Linked DNA regions of Saccharomyces cerevisiae S288C. The gene in region 3 interacts genetically with the main gene of each other region. Each region holds a gene or a part of one and is shown on either strand. Other genes may lie near its edges.

Region 1 (4,753 bases), on a different chromosome or scaffold from region 3:
GGTGCCCTTCGTACTGTCCAGGACAATTTTAAAAGCGGTATCATTCAAAGTAGGGAATTTTGGAGAAAGTCCATAAAGAATGCTCTTCGAGTAATGATAGTTCAGATCAAACCAGATGCTGTTAAATTTGCAATTCATCATCTCAAAGTTTTTGGGAACGTCCACTTGGAACCAACGCTCAAGCTCATTGTAGGTTTCAATCCGCCAGCTCTCGAGATCCATAAACCTCCTCGGCAATTCTGCACCGGGCGCGTAGAGTATTCTCACTATACTAGCTTGGATTCTTCTGATTTTATACATGGCCAATGCGATAACTTTTGAAGACGGATTTGGGCTTGGTAAGTCTGAGTAGTCGTCAATTTCTCGGTTAGTTAATGTGATGAAGGAATCGTCCAAAAGGCTAGGATACCTGGTGGTGATGCTTTCTTCAGGTATACCAAAAGGTCGACCAAAATACGAGCAAATTTGCCGATCTAAGGAGTAAACGCACCAAAATAGACGCCTGCGTATTTCTCTGGTAAAGGCGTCATAATTTTTATTAATTTTTTCCGAATGTAGTCCTAGGTCAACCGTTAGTCTTAGTACAGAACCCATAGTATACCAAACACCGGGGACATTAGGTCTCATTATTGAATAGATTACCATGAGCAAAGTGCCTGCCAATGCCTCCAACCTGTCTGAAGATGAAAATAAAGATGCAATATATTTAGTAGCGCGTCTCTTATATGTCGCGACAGTAGTAATATCTGACTTAAGTACCTGCGTAGCATGGCCAATAGCAAATATAATGTTTAAAAAAAAATAAGGTATGTGAAATTTTGTCGGTAGTTCAACTATCGGACGCATGTTGACTTTTTGAGATGTCTCCCAAGTGTCATACCATGGAACATCCACGGAAGAGCATACGTCAATCTTCTCAGTAACGTTCTCCCTTTTTGGTTCAGTATGCGCACTAAAAGCACTGGTAATTGGAATTTCGAACGCGCTATTTATGCCTGTCTGATCAGATGCCAATGCAATATTGGGATTCCAGGGACCATAAATAGGTTCAAAGTATTTTTTCAGGAAAAGTTCTCTATGCAGCAAAGGTAACTGGGAATTAGTATCTACAAAAAACCTGGATATCATAACTTCAGCGGCATGTCGAGGTGGTAGTTCCAATGGATCAAAGTGTGGATTGTTTTCAGCCTCTGCATATCCATTGTATTTCTGTTCCCTTTGTTTAATATCTTCATCCAGAACGTCATCTCCGGAATCTTGACGAAAATTAGTTGCCGTGAAGACTAATTTCGCAAAGGAAATACCCGATGAATCTCCTAAAAAAGAGTTAAAACTACTTTCTCTCATCGTGCCCAGCGCACTGATCTCCTTATTACATCGGCGTAGCTCTTCCGCTCTTGCATCTGAAGTCATAGGGCTGCCTGTCTCGGGTAATAAAGCGCTACCATCTTGTTTTTTTGAGTTTACCAGAAATTCCTTGCGTTGTACATTTATAGTCTGTGGGCTTGCCATAGACTTGCTCGTTATAGCTGAGGATGCCATAGAATTCCCTTTCTGAACCAAATAATCCGCCAATAAGCCATTATGTGGCAATATTCCCTCTTCTCCCAAAGATGAAACTGAACTGTACTTTTTCAAATCAAAAGGTTCATCATCACTTGTAGCAGGTATATTTCCTCGTATTTTCGTGGGATCTACTCCATATTCTTTCAACACACGCATCATGACAGCCAATCTATCTTCCAGAAAAAAGACGTAAGATCTTGGAACGTCCTTTCCGGTGGCTGGGTCCAAAGAAACACATGGTACCTCTAATTTTGCACACCTCTTACAGCTAGGAAACTCCTGATCACATTTAATTTTTTTCAATCGACATCGTTTACATGCAGTTCTAGATTTGGAAATTCCTATATTAGGAGAATCTCCTCTTTTTGATAAATCTGTTCTATTACTTTTTTTGGAGTTAAATTTTTTCTGCTTCATGATTTAATCATCATCTTCGTATGTTTTATGTACTCTAAAGGGTTACTCCTGTGCGAATAAAGCAAACCACTTTACGTTACTAAAATTTTTCACATTTGGTATTGTGAGTATTTTATGAAGCTCATCGCGGTAAAAGAAAAAAATAGAGAATCTGTGATTATAGTTTAAAAAGGATGTAGACAAAGGATATCAGCGATAAAGGTGGCCATAATTGGACGAAGACAAATAATTCACTTCCTTAATAATGAAGTTGGGTATTATACCTTACCAGGAAGGTACTGATATTGTTTACAAGAATGCTCTCCAGGGTCAGCAAGAAGGGAAGAGACCTAATTTACCACAGATGGAAGCAACGCACCAAATCAAGTCATCGGTTCAGGGTACAAGTTATGAGTTTGTCCGCACAGAAGATATTCCATTGAATCGAAGACATTTTGTGTACAGACCGTGTTCCGCAAATCCCTTTTTCACTATTTTGGGGTATGGCTGTACAGAATACCCATTTGACCACTCTGGAATGAGCGTCATGGACAGATCTGAAGGGTTGTCAATTAGTCGAGATGGAAATGATCTGGTAAGTGTCCCGGATCAATACGGTTGGAGAACTGCAAGAAGCGATGTGTGTATTAAAGAAGGAATGACGTATTGGGAAGTGGAGGTAATTCGTGGAGGAAACAAGAAATTCGCAGACGGTGTTAATAATAAGGAAAATGCTGATGATTCAGTAGACGAAGTACAAAGTGGCATATACGAAAAAATGCACAAACAAGTGAATGACACCCCGCATCTACGATTTGGAGTTTGCAGAAGAGAGGCCAGTTTAGAGGCTCCCGTAGGGTTTGATGTGTACGGGTATGGTATTAGAGACATTTCGTTAGAATCTATCCACGAAGGAAAATTGAATTGCGTCCTAGAAAATGGTTCGCCATTGAAAGAGGGTGATAAAATCGGATTTCTACTGAGTCTTCCTAGCATTCATACACAAATCAAACAAGCTAAGGAGTTTACCAAAAGAAGAATTTTTGCACTGAACTCCCATATGGATACGATGAATGAACCATGGAGAGAAGATGCTGAGAATGGGCCTTCAAGGAAAAAATTAAAACAAGAGACAACGAACAAAGAATTTCAAAGGGCGCTATTAGAAGATATTGAATATAACGACGTCGTCCGCGATCAAATCGCCATCAGGTATAAGAACCAGTTGTTCTTTGAGGCAACGGACTATGTAAAGACAACGAAACCGGAATATTATTCTTCTGATAAGAGGGAAAGGCAAGACTATTACCAGTTAGAGGATTCATATCTTGCTATCTTTCAAAATGGTAAGTACCTAGGCAAAGCATTTGAAAATTTAAAGCCGTTGTTACCACCGTTCAGTGAGTTACAATACAATGAAAAGTTCTATCTTGGATATTGGCAACATGGTGAAGCTCGTGATGAGTCCAATGATAAAAACACAACCAGTGCCAAAAAGAAAAAGCAGCAACAAAAGAAAAAGAAGGGATTGATACTCAGAAACAAATACGTAAATAATAACAAACTGGGTTACTATCCAACAATCAGCTGTTTTAACGGTGGAACAGCGAGGATAATTAGTGAAGAAGATAAATTGGAGTACCTCGATCAAATCCGATCAGCTTACTGTGTTGACGGGAATTCAAAAGTTAACACACTGGATACATTGTACAAAGAACAGATAGCTGAAGACATAGTATGGGATATAATCGATGAGTTGGAGCAAATTGCCCTACAGCAATAAAGCAGCATTCAAAGAAGAATAATTAAAACACACTGAAAGTGTGTTTCTTATATATGGTTATACATTCATGAAGATGAGTTCGTAATCGTTATCTTCTTCAAATTCTGAAAGTGTAAGGACGTCACCACTTCGTAGCTCTATATATCTCGCTCCAGGAATTACAACGTTGTTCAAACATGTCCCATTGGACGAATCCAAATCCATTACATAACATTTCAAAATGCCACGAACGTTCCTGAACTGGATGACGCAGTGCTGCTTTGAGGATGTTTCTTCGGGTATACCAATGTCTGCGACAACGATCTCCGTTCTATCGTCGAGATCTGTATCCAGACTGTGGCCCAGTTCACGACCGACTAAATAACAGCTCCTGCCGTTCAAATCGTATCTTTTCCACGGTCCTTTATCCTTGTCATTCTTTCTGTATATCACTAGTTCATACATAGTCCTATCTCGCGCCTCCAGTCCTAGCATATCCATGTAGTTATCTGGAGAAATAGCGTCCTGCGGCTCCACATGTTTTAAAGCTATACCTTCTTTGTTATTCGACTCCAGCTCTAACAGACCGGAAGGGCTGAAGTCTGGCATAATATCGATGTACTGCGATTTGAATTTCTTGTCATCATGGCCATAATTTCTGGTGTTATAAGGTCTTTTGCGTCTGTGAAACATGTCTATACGCAAATGGAGTCGGAAATGAAGTACACCATGCTTGCTGTGGCTTTTACGTTATACCAAGGCTTCTATTGTAGGACGCCTTTATTGTCAATTATGTGAAAAGAAAGCAAAAAAAAGAAAAAGAAAAATGAAAAAAGATGAACGTGTGAATGAAAAAAAACTATTTCGAGATGAGATGAGATTAAATGAACAGGATTAAGAATACATTTTCTGTTGCTAAGAGATTAAAACTAAGCAAAGTTATGACGAACTCAGAATTACCGAGCATATTCGAAGGAACTGTTGATTTAGGGATTATTGGTGGTACAGGTTTATATAACCTTGACTGTC
Region 2 (4,346 bases), on a different chromosome or scaffold from region 3:
ATGGCGGAAAGGTAGATGCACACTTTAAATATAACTTGTTTTTTTTTTTGAATGTAGTATCCAGTAAGTTTGGAGGCGTTACAAAATATTGTAATAGTGTGGCAAGTAATAAACAATCAGAGATAGTCTCCTTTGATCTTGATTTTTTTTCATGCTTTTTATCTTTTGACTGGTCTAGAACTATGATTTCTTGAACATTGAACAATACAGCTGTCCGAGCTATTTGATATGCAGTAAATGTAACTTGCTCCAAATTATTACAATTGTCGATAACAGTTGTCGGTATGCATATGGAATATTTGACCACATTAGATTCTATATCCATGATTTTTTTTAGCTTCAATAGGCCTGTCTTTGCCTTTTTGGCAGCCCCCTCTTCGTGCTTAAGGCTCTCGGATTTATGTTTTACTGCCATCTTCCCCTATTATGCTACACTTCCCTTGGTAGATGTGTTTCACCTCATTGGTATCAATTACCTCCTCTACTTAATATCCCAATTTCAACATGGTGTTTTCAAGCGATGAGGTGGAAAAAATTTCAAATAATATGTTTGGGTGTGCCCATTATTGCGGTTTACAATAGTTGCTAAAGAGCTATTTATTAGGAATTTTTAAACTTTAGAGATTGCTTAAAGCGACTTTAAAGCGTTTCTTTGGAAAGATAGGAGAGCGGATGCTATCTCAAGAGCATCTCTTCAATGATTTAAGCAGTGACAGTGTAAAACAATTACGGACCAACGAAAATGGTCAAATCAAAACTAATTACAATAAATAAGTTCTATCATAATACAAGGGAATTCTGTGCGATATAACCACATTGATTGAAGGTAGAATATACAAGCCAACGTGAGACCAATCAAATTTCGTTAAGTGCGCCTATACAAAAAGAAATCTTTTATGTAGATATGACAGTAAGAAAAGTATATATGTGAGCTAGCAGGGTATTGAAAGCGATCACAAGAAGGCAAAACGAAATAGATTGTTAGAAGATGAGTGAACAGAAGGGACATAAAGAAAAGATTTCCTTTACAATCTAGTAAATCTTCTTCTTTTCATCAACGGATAATTCACCAGCGCCAGTATTAGTAACTAATAGAAGCCCACCAATGATGCTTAAGTTCTGGTAAAACTCATACTTCAAGAAATCTCTCTTAGTATTGTTATAAAACCAGTAGTTGTTTAGCGTGATATTGTAAAAAGTTAGTATCAAACCCAACATAATGGATGCGAATTTTGTCTTGTAACCAATGGCGAAACATATTGTGCCGATAATGGTCAAAACAACAGTAAACCATGATTTACTGAAAGTGAAAGCGATAAACATTAAAACAATTAAAATTCTACCAGCAAACAACAGGTAACCCTTCGCTTTGTCGTTTTTGCTGTTTAATTCAGGAAGCATACCGAATGTTGTCTTGTTTTGAACAATTGAATCGCTGAATGCAATTAACAACCCACCAATAACACTAAAGTTTCTTAGGACAAATGATGAACCCGTAAACAACCCATAAACTAATGCTTGAGAAATAACGCAAGCACATAACACACCGGTGGCATAATTGGTTTGCTTTCTTAAAACTAACAAACTGGCGCCAATCAACATGGAAACGGTAACAACCACTAGAAACACAACGACAAAGAAGTATGGGTAATGCTTCCACTTATTCAGATAAAAAATTTGATCTGACCATTGTGATAAGATCCTAAACGAATCTTCATAAAAGGTGGCCACAATGAAAAATCTTGACAAACTTGGAATGTAAGGCTTCAATTTATAAACAACTGCATTGTCAGTGAGCCCCTCAATTCTGGAGGCAAACTTTTCAAAAGAATGCTTCCATTGCTTTAAGATGCCAGAAGTGGATTGGTTCTGGTTTGATCTGAATTGTGCACCGCCAGAGTATGGTCCTTGCGATGATGACATTGGCATACCGCCAAAATTTCCAATAGGTCCTCTGTAAGACATTGATCTATCCTTTCAGTTTTGTTTTCACTTTTTTTGAGTCGTACTAATTGCAGCTATTGTAAGTAAATAAGGACACCTTTGATCTTTCGTTAAAGGTGTCCTTTATTTTTCGCCTTTCTCATTATTCCCTCTTCTCTCATCTTCTAGAAATACCTAAAAAGGGAACCGTTACCCGAACCTATTCATTATAGAAATAAAAGAGAACGTTCTCTATAATATTCGTATACATTCGTATATATTCTATTCCATTTCTTACGGTATTCACACGAAGTAGGACAACAAGCTGGATGGTAGTTTGCCAGAATCGACAATAGTCTTTGCAGATTCCTTCAAAACTTCCTTGGCACCAGCAGCATTGGCCTTGATCTTATCGGCGGTGGACACTAACTCTTCGTCATTCAAACTGTCAACGATCAAACCAACTTGTTCGTCAATCGTGGTGGCCTTGTCAGCATCACCAAAGTAGTCAGCTTCCTTAGCAGAGTTACGGATGGCTCTCTTGTTCTTTTTCTTGGCGGCCTTAGCAGCTTCCTTAGCCTTCTTTTTGTCAGCTTTTGCGGAGGCGTTAGCCTTGGCTTCAGATTCAGCTTTAGCCTTCGCTTCAGCTTCGGCCTTGGCCTTAGCTTCAGCTTCAGCTCTGGCACCGGCTTCTCTTTCCCATTTTCTTCTTTCCTTTTCCTTCTTCTCTTCTTCTTTGAACATTTTGATACGGGGATCTTCACTGACAGCTCTTTCAACAAGTTTGACCAATCTAGCGTTATCAGCAGTCTTCTTCTTGTCTCTTGCGGCCTTGTTCTTTCTTTCAATGTAACGCTTGTGGTCTCTGTTAGAAGAGTCATCTGGGACATCTTCGTCCAAGAACTCAAAGGTTCTCCAGGAGTCAAATCTGTGCCAGAAAGCATAGAATTGTTCAACTTCCTTCTTGGAAGAATCTTTGTTACCTAGAGAAGGAATAGGAGTCTTCTTAGAAAAACGAGCTTCAGCTTCGAAAACGGGGCCCCAAGCTTCATAAAAGTCATAATCGGTACCCTTCTTTGGAGGAGGAACATCGGCAACAAAATCACATGAGTCGTACTGAGCTCTCTTGTTGGAATCAGTCAAAGTTTCAAAGGCCTTTTGAATAATCTTGAAAAAGCCATCTTGGTCCAAACTACCACCAGCAGCAGATTGCTTGTCTGGATGGTACTTGACAACTTGTTTTCTGTGAGCCTTGATGATTTGACTTTCAGTAGCTCTGAAACGCAACTTAGACAAACCCATAGCAGCATACAAATCGGCAGTTTTCCAGTCTCTAGCATCATGAGTCAGTAAATCTTCATCGGCCAATTCAGTGTCGAATAACAACTCATCTGGGTCGACATTGGATTCATCAACGGTTTTGACGTTCTTTTCAGCTTCAATTCTTTCAAATTCAGACCAGGTGTGGTTTCTCAAAGTTCTTTGAGCATGTTGCAAAAAGAACTTACCAACCGGTTCGACCGGACGACGGACGAATGGGGTTTTGGTAGCGGAACTGTTGACTTCAACAGTGATGTCTGAGGTTAGGGTAGGTAAAGAAAACATCGTTACTCTTGTTGGTATATGTGAGACAAAACGAAGATTTTATAAAAGCATCGGTAGGAAAACCTTATGAAATTTTCTCTACCAGCTCTTGAAATAAAAATTTCGAACTCTTTGCAAAATTTCATCGAGAAAAAAAAAAGATTCGTATTTGCGGGTAATATTTTTTGGACATTTGTATTAGGAGCGTTATGTTCATTAATGTCATCCAAAAGATAGTTATAAATCTATGATTGTATGGTTTCTTTGACATATTTATAGTTAATATATATATATATATGTGTTTAATTTTATAAAAATTCCATCGTTTATATTCGATTATTTTTATATGTCAACCTTTTTTTTAAGAAATGTTCATATTTAGTCAAGTTCTTAATGAAATGAACGGTTGAAAGTACAAGGCAACTATCATTTCAAGATATAAAAAAATTGCCCAAAAAAAAAAGGCCATTTGATGAAATGTCTCATCGCGCTACGATTTCTGCTGTAATCAGAACTAAATGCGTGATCGGAAGTAATATTAGATATTGGATGCATAAAAGATAAAACGCCAGCTAACGATGGCAGAATAAATAGGTAAATATATATATATATAGGTTTTCTTAATAAATAAGGGAGAAATGTACAGTTAGAATCGTAGAATTATCCACATATCCCTATCTTCAAGATCTGTCGTACTTAAATGCCTCCATAGGTTGCAATCCCCATTTAGCCAACATTGCCTTGTCTTCGTCCCAACCGTTACACATTGTCGTCAGCATTTTCTTACCGGTGAAGATACTGTTACAACCTGCCATGAAACAGACAAATTGCTCTGTTTC
Region 3 (3,595 bases):
TTCATGTATAAAGTGTAAGCTAAGCCACCCGACATGTATAACGTACCACCAACCAACGTCAGTACCGTTAGACGATGTAATGTATCTGTAACTCTGGTATACCAAGCGTATTTGGACATGACTATCTGCGTTCTATTTTTTGTTCTCTTCCTCTCACCATTGCCAAACCGCTGTATAGATTTATGCTCCTTTCAATGCATTTATTCTGATCCTCTCCGATTTCGTATACCGGGTAACATTAATCGCAAGGAAGGAGAAGCAAAGCTCAGAAGTAAGGAAGAACTTCGAAATCTGCTTCCGAGAGTGAGGAAATAGTGTTTTCTAAAGAGTGTATTTCACAGTATGTAACATTATAAAGACAAAATACTTACTTAAGCAAAGTTATATAGAAGTGACAACGTGTTTTTTCGTTTTGCTATTAGCTTGTCCATTTTACGGTAAAATATACGGATGAAAAGAAAAATTGGGGAGAAAAGTACATTACGTTGACACCCCAATCATTAGTTGAACCCTAATATGCTTTTCGACCAGTTTTTAACGTTATGTAGGTACCTCTTGTAAGCAGGCTCCTTAACAGTGCCGAACAACCATTGCGTATTCTGCTTGGCCAAGTTGATTAAGTCGTCCTTCGTAGAAGTCTGTTTAACCGGAACACCGAATGATTTTAGGTACTGCAATAGGTCTTCTTGAGACCAGCTCTGAAAGGTATTTGACCAGGTCTTAGCGATTTGGTCCTTAGCATCATTTGTGTTTTTGGAAACCTTGTCAAAATCCTGCATAATTGTGGAGTAAGTCTGAGAATCTTGGAAGTCGTCCTTTTTGTCAGCAAACCAACCCTTTATGTCATCCAAAGACCAGTTACTGTTGTCAAAGTATTTTTGGTAGTCTTTTGGCAGGATCTTGAGTTTTTCGTTTCTGGATTTTTTGACTAATTCTCTCAATTGATGTTCAGTAGACAGCATTGAGTACTTAATACCACGAGCATCTAAAAACATTTTCAATTTGTCCTTTGGCCAAGAGTCTAGGCCAACCAAAAAAGTATCATTGATCACATTGTCAGTCTTACCTCTGAACTTGGAGTACAAATTTGTGAGGAAATTTTTAGAAGAGTCCCAAACGGAACCAACGTATTCTGGGGTCTTGGTCAAAAATGGAGAAGACTCTCTTTTCATATAGTCCAGGTACCAGTAGATATCATCTTTCAAATTGGCAGAATTTTCTTTGGCCATTCTAACCAAATAGTCGTGTTTCTTGGCCATGTTCTTGTCAATATTGACCTTGTGGCTCTCCAACCAATTGGTTAACTGATCACTAGACCACTTGTCAAATACAGTGTCTTTTATTTGTCCCGATGTGTCTAATATTTGTTGGTGAGCCAAATCCAAGCTTTCTAGCAAACCCAGACGCTGCTGTTCTGCCTTTTCTGAAGTTCGGTAGATGTTTTCCTTGACTTTCTGAACTAGCTCGTCCTTGCTTTGAACTGCCTTGTCGTAGTCGATACCATTGTCATTCAACCAGTTTTGCAAATCTTTGGTTGACCAGCTATCAAAGTAAGAGCTAGAAGGATAGTATCCCGACGACTTCAAAGATTTGGAAATCTTGTTGAAGTTCTCCTTAGCAGTCTTCACCAGCGAGTCCTTGGAAGCCTTAGCGTCGTCAACATCCACGCCGTTTTTCTTCAAGAAGTTACGTAGACTGTCTGTGGACCAGGTGTCAAAGAGCCAGTCAGAAACTGGGTGATCCGAAGAACCAGTATAACCAAACCATCCGGGGTTACTGTTGCTCACGCTACTGCTGTCACTAGACCACACCTGCCACCATGGTTTGGGCTGCGCGTGTTTGTCCCATACCTGCGATGCCTCCGTTTTCAAGTCCTCAATGGAGTCTGTAGCGTACTTTTCCAAGCTCTTCTTATTATCACGTAAATAATCGGCCAGGTCTTCCTGCGTCCACTTGTCGAACACTGAATCTGAATTGGCCAACACTAAGCCAATAAGCACAAATGATGCGGAAACCGCATTAACCAACTTGAATTGCTTCATCTTCTTCTCTTAATTAACAGTTCTTTTGTAGTTGTCTCCTCTTCTATTGCAGATCCTCTTCTAAACTCCGGTAATCTAATCATGCTAGGAATACGACTCCATGAGTGGCTTTAAATACCCTGTCGATCCCCTTTCACCGCCTCCTTGTTTCCTCCCTCTCCCTTATTTTCCTTCAGTTCCAAAGATCCCTTATTCTTCCCCTCTAAGGTGAGGCCGGCGTAATGCTGTTGCTTACCGACGTAATGGTGGAAAAGGTGAAAAAAGTGAAAATAGTGATATTCTTAGAGAAAAACGAAAACAACAAGTCGTGTCAAGAGGTAGTGTTTTGGGAAAGACGTCATAGAGAAAGGCAGAAAGCTTGTAAAGAAGTGGAAATAAAGATTGAAGATGAACTCGTTAGCTTCAAACACACCGCTAAATGGTACTCCAGTAAGCGAGGCACCCGCCACAAGCTCCGAGCCTGTGAACATGTTCGAGACAATGGTGGCTAACCCTATTAAAGTGTCTCGATTACAGTCTAATGGAGTTCTGACGGGACCTGCAGCCAATACTAAGTCCATCCACTATTCGCTGGCCAATTTTAATGTGTTCCAGTCGCTACCCAAGGAAACGGCCAGAGGTGTAGACGATTTGACGAGGATGGAGATGGCGTTACTGAGTGGGATACCGGAGGAGATTAAGTGGTCTTTAAAAAAATATCTTACGTATAGTAACAAGGCGCCATATATGATCAGCTTACGGACATTGCCGGACCTGTTGCCACTTTTCAAGACTTTCATATTGCCTTTGGAGCGCATCGTGGAAGGTCTTAACAAATCGTCTATATGTGATTCAAAGGCGATGGATTCTCTACAAATGGGTCTAAATGCCTTGCTGATCCTAAGGAATCTGGCTCAAGATACTGATTCGGTGCAGATACTAGTCAAGGATCGAGAAATCAAATCTTTCATTCTTTTCATTTTGAAGAAGTTTCAGTGCGTCGCTACAGGCGATAACAAGTGGCAATTGTACGAAGGAAATGCAACTTTTTTTAACGAGTTGACCCATTATACTCTGGACTTGATGGAGGCCATTTCGTCCTATATTGCTCCTGCAATGAAGGATGATCATTATTTCCAAACGCTGGTGTCCATCTTGAACTACACTAAGGACAGATACATGGTTATTTCTATATTGAGGTCTCTTTCAAGATTACTGGTTAGGTCCAAAGCTAACGAGGAAAGTGCAGCGGACAATTTGGACCATAAGACTCTTTCGTTGATCGTTTCCTTTTTACTGTTAGAATGCGATAGTGAGCTGATTATTGCTTCGTTGGATTTCCTCTATCAATACATTTTGCCCGGTTCTCAAAGAATCACTGAGTTATTCAAGAGTAAGGAGTGCTCTTTGATACTGGAAGCCACGCTGCCTAATTTATTATCATATAATATCGCCACACCAGATTACCATCTTTTGCAAAAGCACAAAATTAGGTTGATTAAAAGGTTGAAGCCTCCCGCTCCAAAGGAGCCTCCCAATTTATCTGAGGATCTGTTTCAACAACTTTTCAAACT
Region 4 (5,023 bases), on a different chromosome or scaffold from region 3:
TATAGCAGGATTGAAGTTATTAATGTCAGGGATATCGTGTAGAAGTAGTGAACCGCGATAAAACTGGGGAAGATATATTTTTTAACTGGAGCAAAATAGTGACCACATAGAGCAATAAAATCACGAAATTTATGGCCGAAAGATTTTTTATATCGTATTTCAAGAGATGCCAATGTGGGCACTCTACTCATCGTTCTTCTAAAATGCATTGTTAGTTATCAAAAAAAGGTAATAACTTTAAGTAAAATGGATAGGAATGACTTCCTTGAGAGCCAATAGAATACCCTCCTTCTTTTTAAGGCAATACAAGTGTGGAATCAGTGATGCTAATGGTAAGGTAAAAACAATGGGCGAAAGGAAAGCAACAGTAACAAAAAGTTTCTAATAATGTAAGAGCTCTTTATCTTGATAGGTAATTATTTACTGTTTTCCGTGAAAGTAGCAAAATTTAGAAGTTAGGGTAAGATACAGGTATAGTTCCTGGTCCAGACTCCACATCTACTCTCAATAACGTGGATTTGAACTTTCAAAACACCTTTTATTTTCTCGATGATTTTGGACTTTTTTTTCTTTCCTAGCCTTGAGCCGTAAAGAGCGGAAAAACCATCAGACAATTCCAGAGCATTTTTTCTTTCTTGCGTTGTCAGCCCCGAACGTAAATAATTTCGAGGAGTCGATGGCCGTAGCAATAATCGAATAACACAATATATTGACGTCCACATCGCTTCACTTGCCGGTGCTTGAAATAACATCCCCTCAATACTCTGTCATAATTCGTGCCCTTTTTTAGGTTCGACAAAAGGAAGTCAGACGATATATATATATGAATATATATATATATATATGTCTATAACGAGTATAATGCAAGTTTATTACAATAAACATATGTATATGTAAGGTTTTTTTGTATTCGCCGCATCATTTCCACAGTAGCTTTTCGTCTGCTTTTTTTTTGTTGTTATATTCACGTGCCTGTTTGCTTTTATTTGGATATTAACGCTATAAACCACCCATATGTAATGCCGGTACATTTTTAGATAAACCATTCTCACCACGTTCCCGTAAGATTTTGTTGCGCCTTTCTAATCGTTCAGTGATATACTCACTCATGTGGACATCCTGGTTTCTGTATTTTACTAACCAAGGATGCTCTGTTAAAGCTGCGTATGTAGGTCTTCTTTCCGGAATCTTTTGTAGACATAAAGAAACAAAATCTTGTGCGTCAGAACTGAATTTATCTGAAGGTAATCTCGGTGGCGGCCCATCAACAATAGCGCTCAATTGAGAGAAAATGTTGTCGTATGTTTCTGGTGGATACGGATATCTACCTAGTGCCATTTCCAGAATGCTTAAACCTAAAGACCAGATGTCTGACTGTACGGTATAGGTGGCTCTATCTGGATTCAACGATTTGATTCGTTCAGGTGCCATGTATGACTGACAACCAATATTAGTCTTCGCTAAAGATGCCACCAAATTACCAGAAACACCGAAATCGCACAGCTTTACGGTGCCTTGGTTGGCTGAACATAAAATATTTGTTGGTTTGACATCTCTGTGTATGATATTATGCTGCTCTTTGAGTTCTTTTAGTCCATGAATGACAGCATTGGCAATAAACGCTAGCTGAGGTTCATCAATGCCGCCGATTTCAGATGATTCGTCGTATATTTTATCCAAGGAACCACCATCCATGTATTCCATACACATGTAGACGGCGCCCTCAATAAAGAATGCACCATAAAAATCCACAATATAGGGAGAATTGCATTTATGCAAAACTTCTAGTTCCATTAAAATTTGTCTAAATTTAGCCTCATCTAGCTCCAAACGGACTTCCTTCGTCGCCATAATAACATTTGTGGGCTTATGCAGTACCTTTGAGACGTTACCATAGTTACCATGACCCAGTTCATCCAAAAATTCTAGTTCGTCCAATGTAATTCTCGAACTAGAACCATTGCTGAAATCTATTCCTTTAGAGGATAGCGATAGTTTGCCTGCAAAATTCAAAGAGCCGGATTTGATATCCACGTATTTCGAGAAATTTGCGAAAAGACCACCACCACCACTACTACCAGAATTTGAAGAGTTGTTGCTGTTTCCAGTTCTGGGTGTAGTGCCTACAGTGTCATGTGGGCCTTCGGTACTTGATGAGGTGGATGTGCTTTGCACACCATTTATCAAAGAACCCGGATTCGATCTTTTCCCTTCAACAACTTTGCTGTTTGATAAGGTTTCTATATGTTTTTTGTTTGAAGGGCTTGGGGCAAACTGCTGCGGCTGTTGAGCTGTTTTAGTGGGCATTTTTAATGACATTCCTCCTGGTGGTAATTTGAGCCCTCGACGGGCACTTAAACTTTGTTTTGGTGTGTTGATTATAGCAGGGGCCTTATGCGGGGCAACATTTGGTCTTGTAGGGTGCTGGGTAGAAAGCGGCCTTCTTGGTGCCCTTCTGTTAGGATTCAGCAATTGCGCCTTATGTGTTGCTGATGCAGTATTAGAAACTGACGGCGTAATGTCAGTAGCAGGTAGGCCAGTATTTACACCAATTGTTGTGGCGGTAATTTTGGTTGTATCGATGTTAATATTTACGTCGGTAATGTTTTGTGTTTCTTGATTGTCCAGAACGTTCTTAAGAGTGCTCTTGGAGGACGCTTGCACGACTTGGCTACTCATTCTTTGTGAAACCTTAGAACTTCCTGCTACGGGAAGAGGCGGCAATGGCTTATTAACAATCTGCTGAATATGTTTAGGTGATTGTGAACTGCCTTTGTCTTGCTCGCTTTGATTACTGCCCACGCTGGCAGACCTTTTCAATGCACGTTGTTCTTGAAAAGCTTTTACACGAGCATGAAGGTCAGCGTTGATGTTATTGTAGTGCGAGGACGTCGAAGATGTTCTCTTGACAGCAGAGCCATTATCTGAGCCTGTTTGCTCGTTTAATTGGATAGATGACTTACCAGTTTTCTCATGGAGACTGAGGTTAGCAAACTTGTCTTCCATCTTTGAGAAATTAACGTCTCGATCTGCTTAATATAATAATGTATCTATAGAAATGTACGGAAAAACGGGTACTTTATCAGTTTTAGTTGTATGACGTTGATGTCTGGAGAAGGACAAGGAAAAAGTAGTTCTGTGAAACGTGTACCCACAATAGCAGCTACCCTTGTCTTCTTTTTTAGTAATTCTTTTCTTCCGGCAAGCAGGTAAGCAGTTATCTCTGTGTCCAGATCCCTTTGAAGTAAAGTTTATTCAATTTTCTATAGAACGTGTATGGCTCACGAAATCGCTCACTAGTAGACAACACACGTTAGAAAGATCCTTTCAGGTGCAACGGGACGCAGAGGGAAAAAACTGGAAAAATTGCCACTAATGAAAAGGCAAATAGAGGATGAAAAAGAAAAGGTAAATGCAGATGAAAGGACGAAGACAGATGCGATAAGAACAGCGTTTGAGATCGGATGCAAAGGATATAGTTTTGCTCTGGCACTGTGTTAGTGTGCTTGTGGGTGCTTTTTCTTCTATTTGCAAGAAAATGTGACCTTTGCGGATAACCTATATAAGACGGGGTTTCCTTGCTTTGAAAAGTTTAAAACAGATATTCTTGCAGATACAGGAGTACATACTTGTGCGATCATCACCAAGATAACAAGAGATTAATCAAATATAGAAACAGATATATAAAATAGATACAGAGTGCTACGCAATAAGATTTTTTTTTCCTGTTGCAATACTATACTACGTCTTGACATGAACTCTCAACAGTGATATTTCTGGGGAGTTGTATCGATGTGTAGTAACTGGTAGTAGTCTAGTAATGAGTTGTTCTCATGTTAGTGAATATTCTGTATGCTTCCGTGCCTGCTGCTATGCTCAAGGGGAACAGAAAAGCAACACGCTCAAAATAGTAATCTACATGAGAAACAAGACTTAGTCATTGCCTTTTGCCAGAATTGGCTTCGGCCGTAGCTGTTGAAGTTAATCCCGCAGTAAAAGACAAACGGCTCCGTATTCAGCAGTTCTATATATCACCTCATTAAGACACAGACGATCTTGACAGTTGCAGCAGAAACACGCCACCATATGTTCTTGTAGCTACACCACGATTGAGTGTCTGCACTCTTATTCAAGTGTTTCAACTAAAAATAAGTCTAAGCTGAAAGATTATTACTTTCATTTGATTTTTTTATTTTTGAAGCCCCATTTCCTTAAATCGTTCTCGTGGACGAGATTAAAAATAGAAATGATGTAGAGGAGATGCACTAAACATTGCCTCCCTGCACCGCACAATTACTGTAGCCATTGTGCTTATTTATATCTACCTATATATCTAAGCAGCTATATCATGGGCTTGACATACGCGACTTCTGCTTGCTTTTGTGCTCTCGTTCAAAGAGCAATTACTTCATTCCATCTCAAGAAGGACTGTTGCAGGTCATTATTTCATTTCTTACTGCACGTATTTCGATTGAGCTGCTAATGAAATCACAACACAACTACCCAAATAGCCTAAGAATTGGAAAAAGGCCCTTCTTGATAATTGGATCTGTTGAGTTGGCGTATGCAAAGCTGTAAATATTGAACGGATCTGGTTGAAAAAGAAAATCATGCTTTCTTTATTGTCGCGTAAACTGTACACTGCTGCAATTATCTAGCTGGCTGCTAGTAGCAATGTGCTCTTCGTTACGCTACCGTAGCTTTTCTCCGTGAGTGACTGATTTTGCTGCTGTACATTTAACTCCTTTTCTATTTAAATTGTGCGCTGCCATTTTCCGCATCGGAAAACCTAAGACAAATTTTGATGAGTATACTTGGTACGTGCCCACGCAGCCAATAGTGTCTCGTTCACGGCATCAGATACAGCAGTACTTAAAAGGGCACTGAGGATCAGGTTTCCTAATCTGGAAAATTTTGCAGCACAAAGCTTAGTTATTTATCTCCGATTATGGATTTCTGCAGTACCTAGGTTTCAACGTAAAACTGTAACAGAACCTTTCGTCATGCAAGCATAATTGAGTTG

The links.
Region 1: mutations in MSC1 (region 3) and BRE2 together harm fitness more than expected from each alone (negative genetic interaction), as found in Saccharomyces cerevisiae (3 studies listed by BioGRID).
Region 2: mutations in MSC1 (region 3) and ERV29 together harm fitness more than expected from each alone (negative genetic interaction), as found in Saccharomyces cerevisiae (3 studies listed by BioGRID, with this or other methods).
Region 4: mutations in MSC1 (region 3) and PBS2 together harm fitness more than expected from each alone (negative genetic interaction), as found in Saccharomyces cerevisiae (3 studies listed by BioGRID).

The regions. Positions count from the first base shown.
Region 1 is NC_001144.5:173,000-177,752, forward strand, and holds BRE2 (Bre2p), read left to right. Parts: upstream 1-2,227; coding exon 2,228-3,745; downstream 3,746-4,753. Other genes in the region: PPR1 (Ppr1p), read right to left, coding at 1-1,983; PML1 (Pml1p), read right to left, coding at 3,803-4,417; MEU1 (S-methyl-5-thioadenosine phosphorylase), read left to right, coding at 4,609-4,753. UniProt on the Saccharomyces cerevisiae protein: Component of the Set1C/COMPASS complex that specifically mono-, di- and trimethylates histone H3 to form H3K4me1/2/3, which subsequently plays a role in telomere length maintenance and transcription elongation regulation.
Region 2 is NC_001139.9:1,059,626-1,063,971, forward strand, and holds ERV29 (protein ERV29), read right to left. Parts: upstream 1,966-4,346; coding exon 1,033-1,965; downstream 1-1,032. Other genes in the region: UPA1 (putative methyltransferase), read right to left, coding at 1-415; ZUO1 (zuotin), read right to left, coding at 2,227-3,528; BIO2 (biotin synthase), read right to left, coding at 4,188-4,346. UniProt on the Saccharomyces cerevisiae protein: Constituent of COPII-coated endoplasmic reticulum-derived transport vesicles. Required for efficient transport of a subset of secretory proteins to the Golgi. The C-terminal di-lysine motif is required for exit from the endoplasmic reticulum.
Region 3 is NC_001145.3:14,635-18,229, forward strand, and holds MSC1 (double-strand break repair enhancer MSC1), read right to left. Parts: upstream 2,043-3,595; coding exon 501-2,042; downstream 1-500. Other genes in the region: COX14 (Cox14p), read right to left, coding at 1-119; RSC9 (Rsc9p), read left to right, coding at 2,430-3,595.
Region 4 is NC_001142.9:177,098-182,120, forward strand, and holds PBS2 (mitogen-activated protein kinase kinase PBS2), read right to left. Parts: upstream 3,007-5,023; coding exon 1,000-3,006; downstream 1-999. Other genes in the region: TRK1 (Trk1p), read right to left, coding at 1-209; MCO6 (Mco6p), read right to left, coding at 4,454-4,612. UniProt on the Saccharomyces cerevisiae protein: Kinase involved in a signal transduction pathway that is activated by changes in the osmolarity of the extracellular environment. Activates the MAP kinase HOG1 by concomitant phosphorylation at 'Thr-174' and 'Tyr-176'.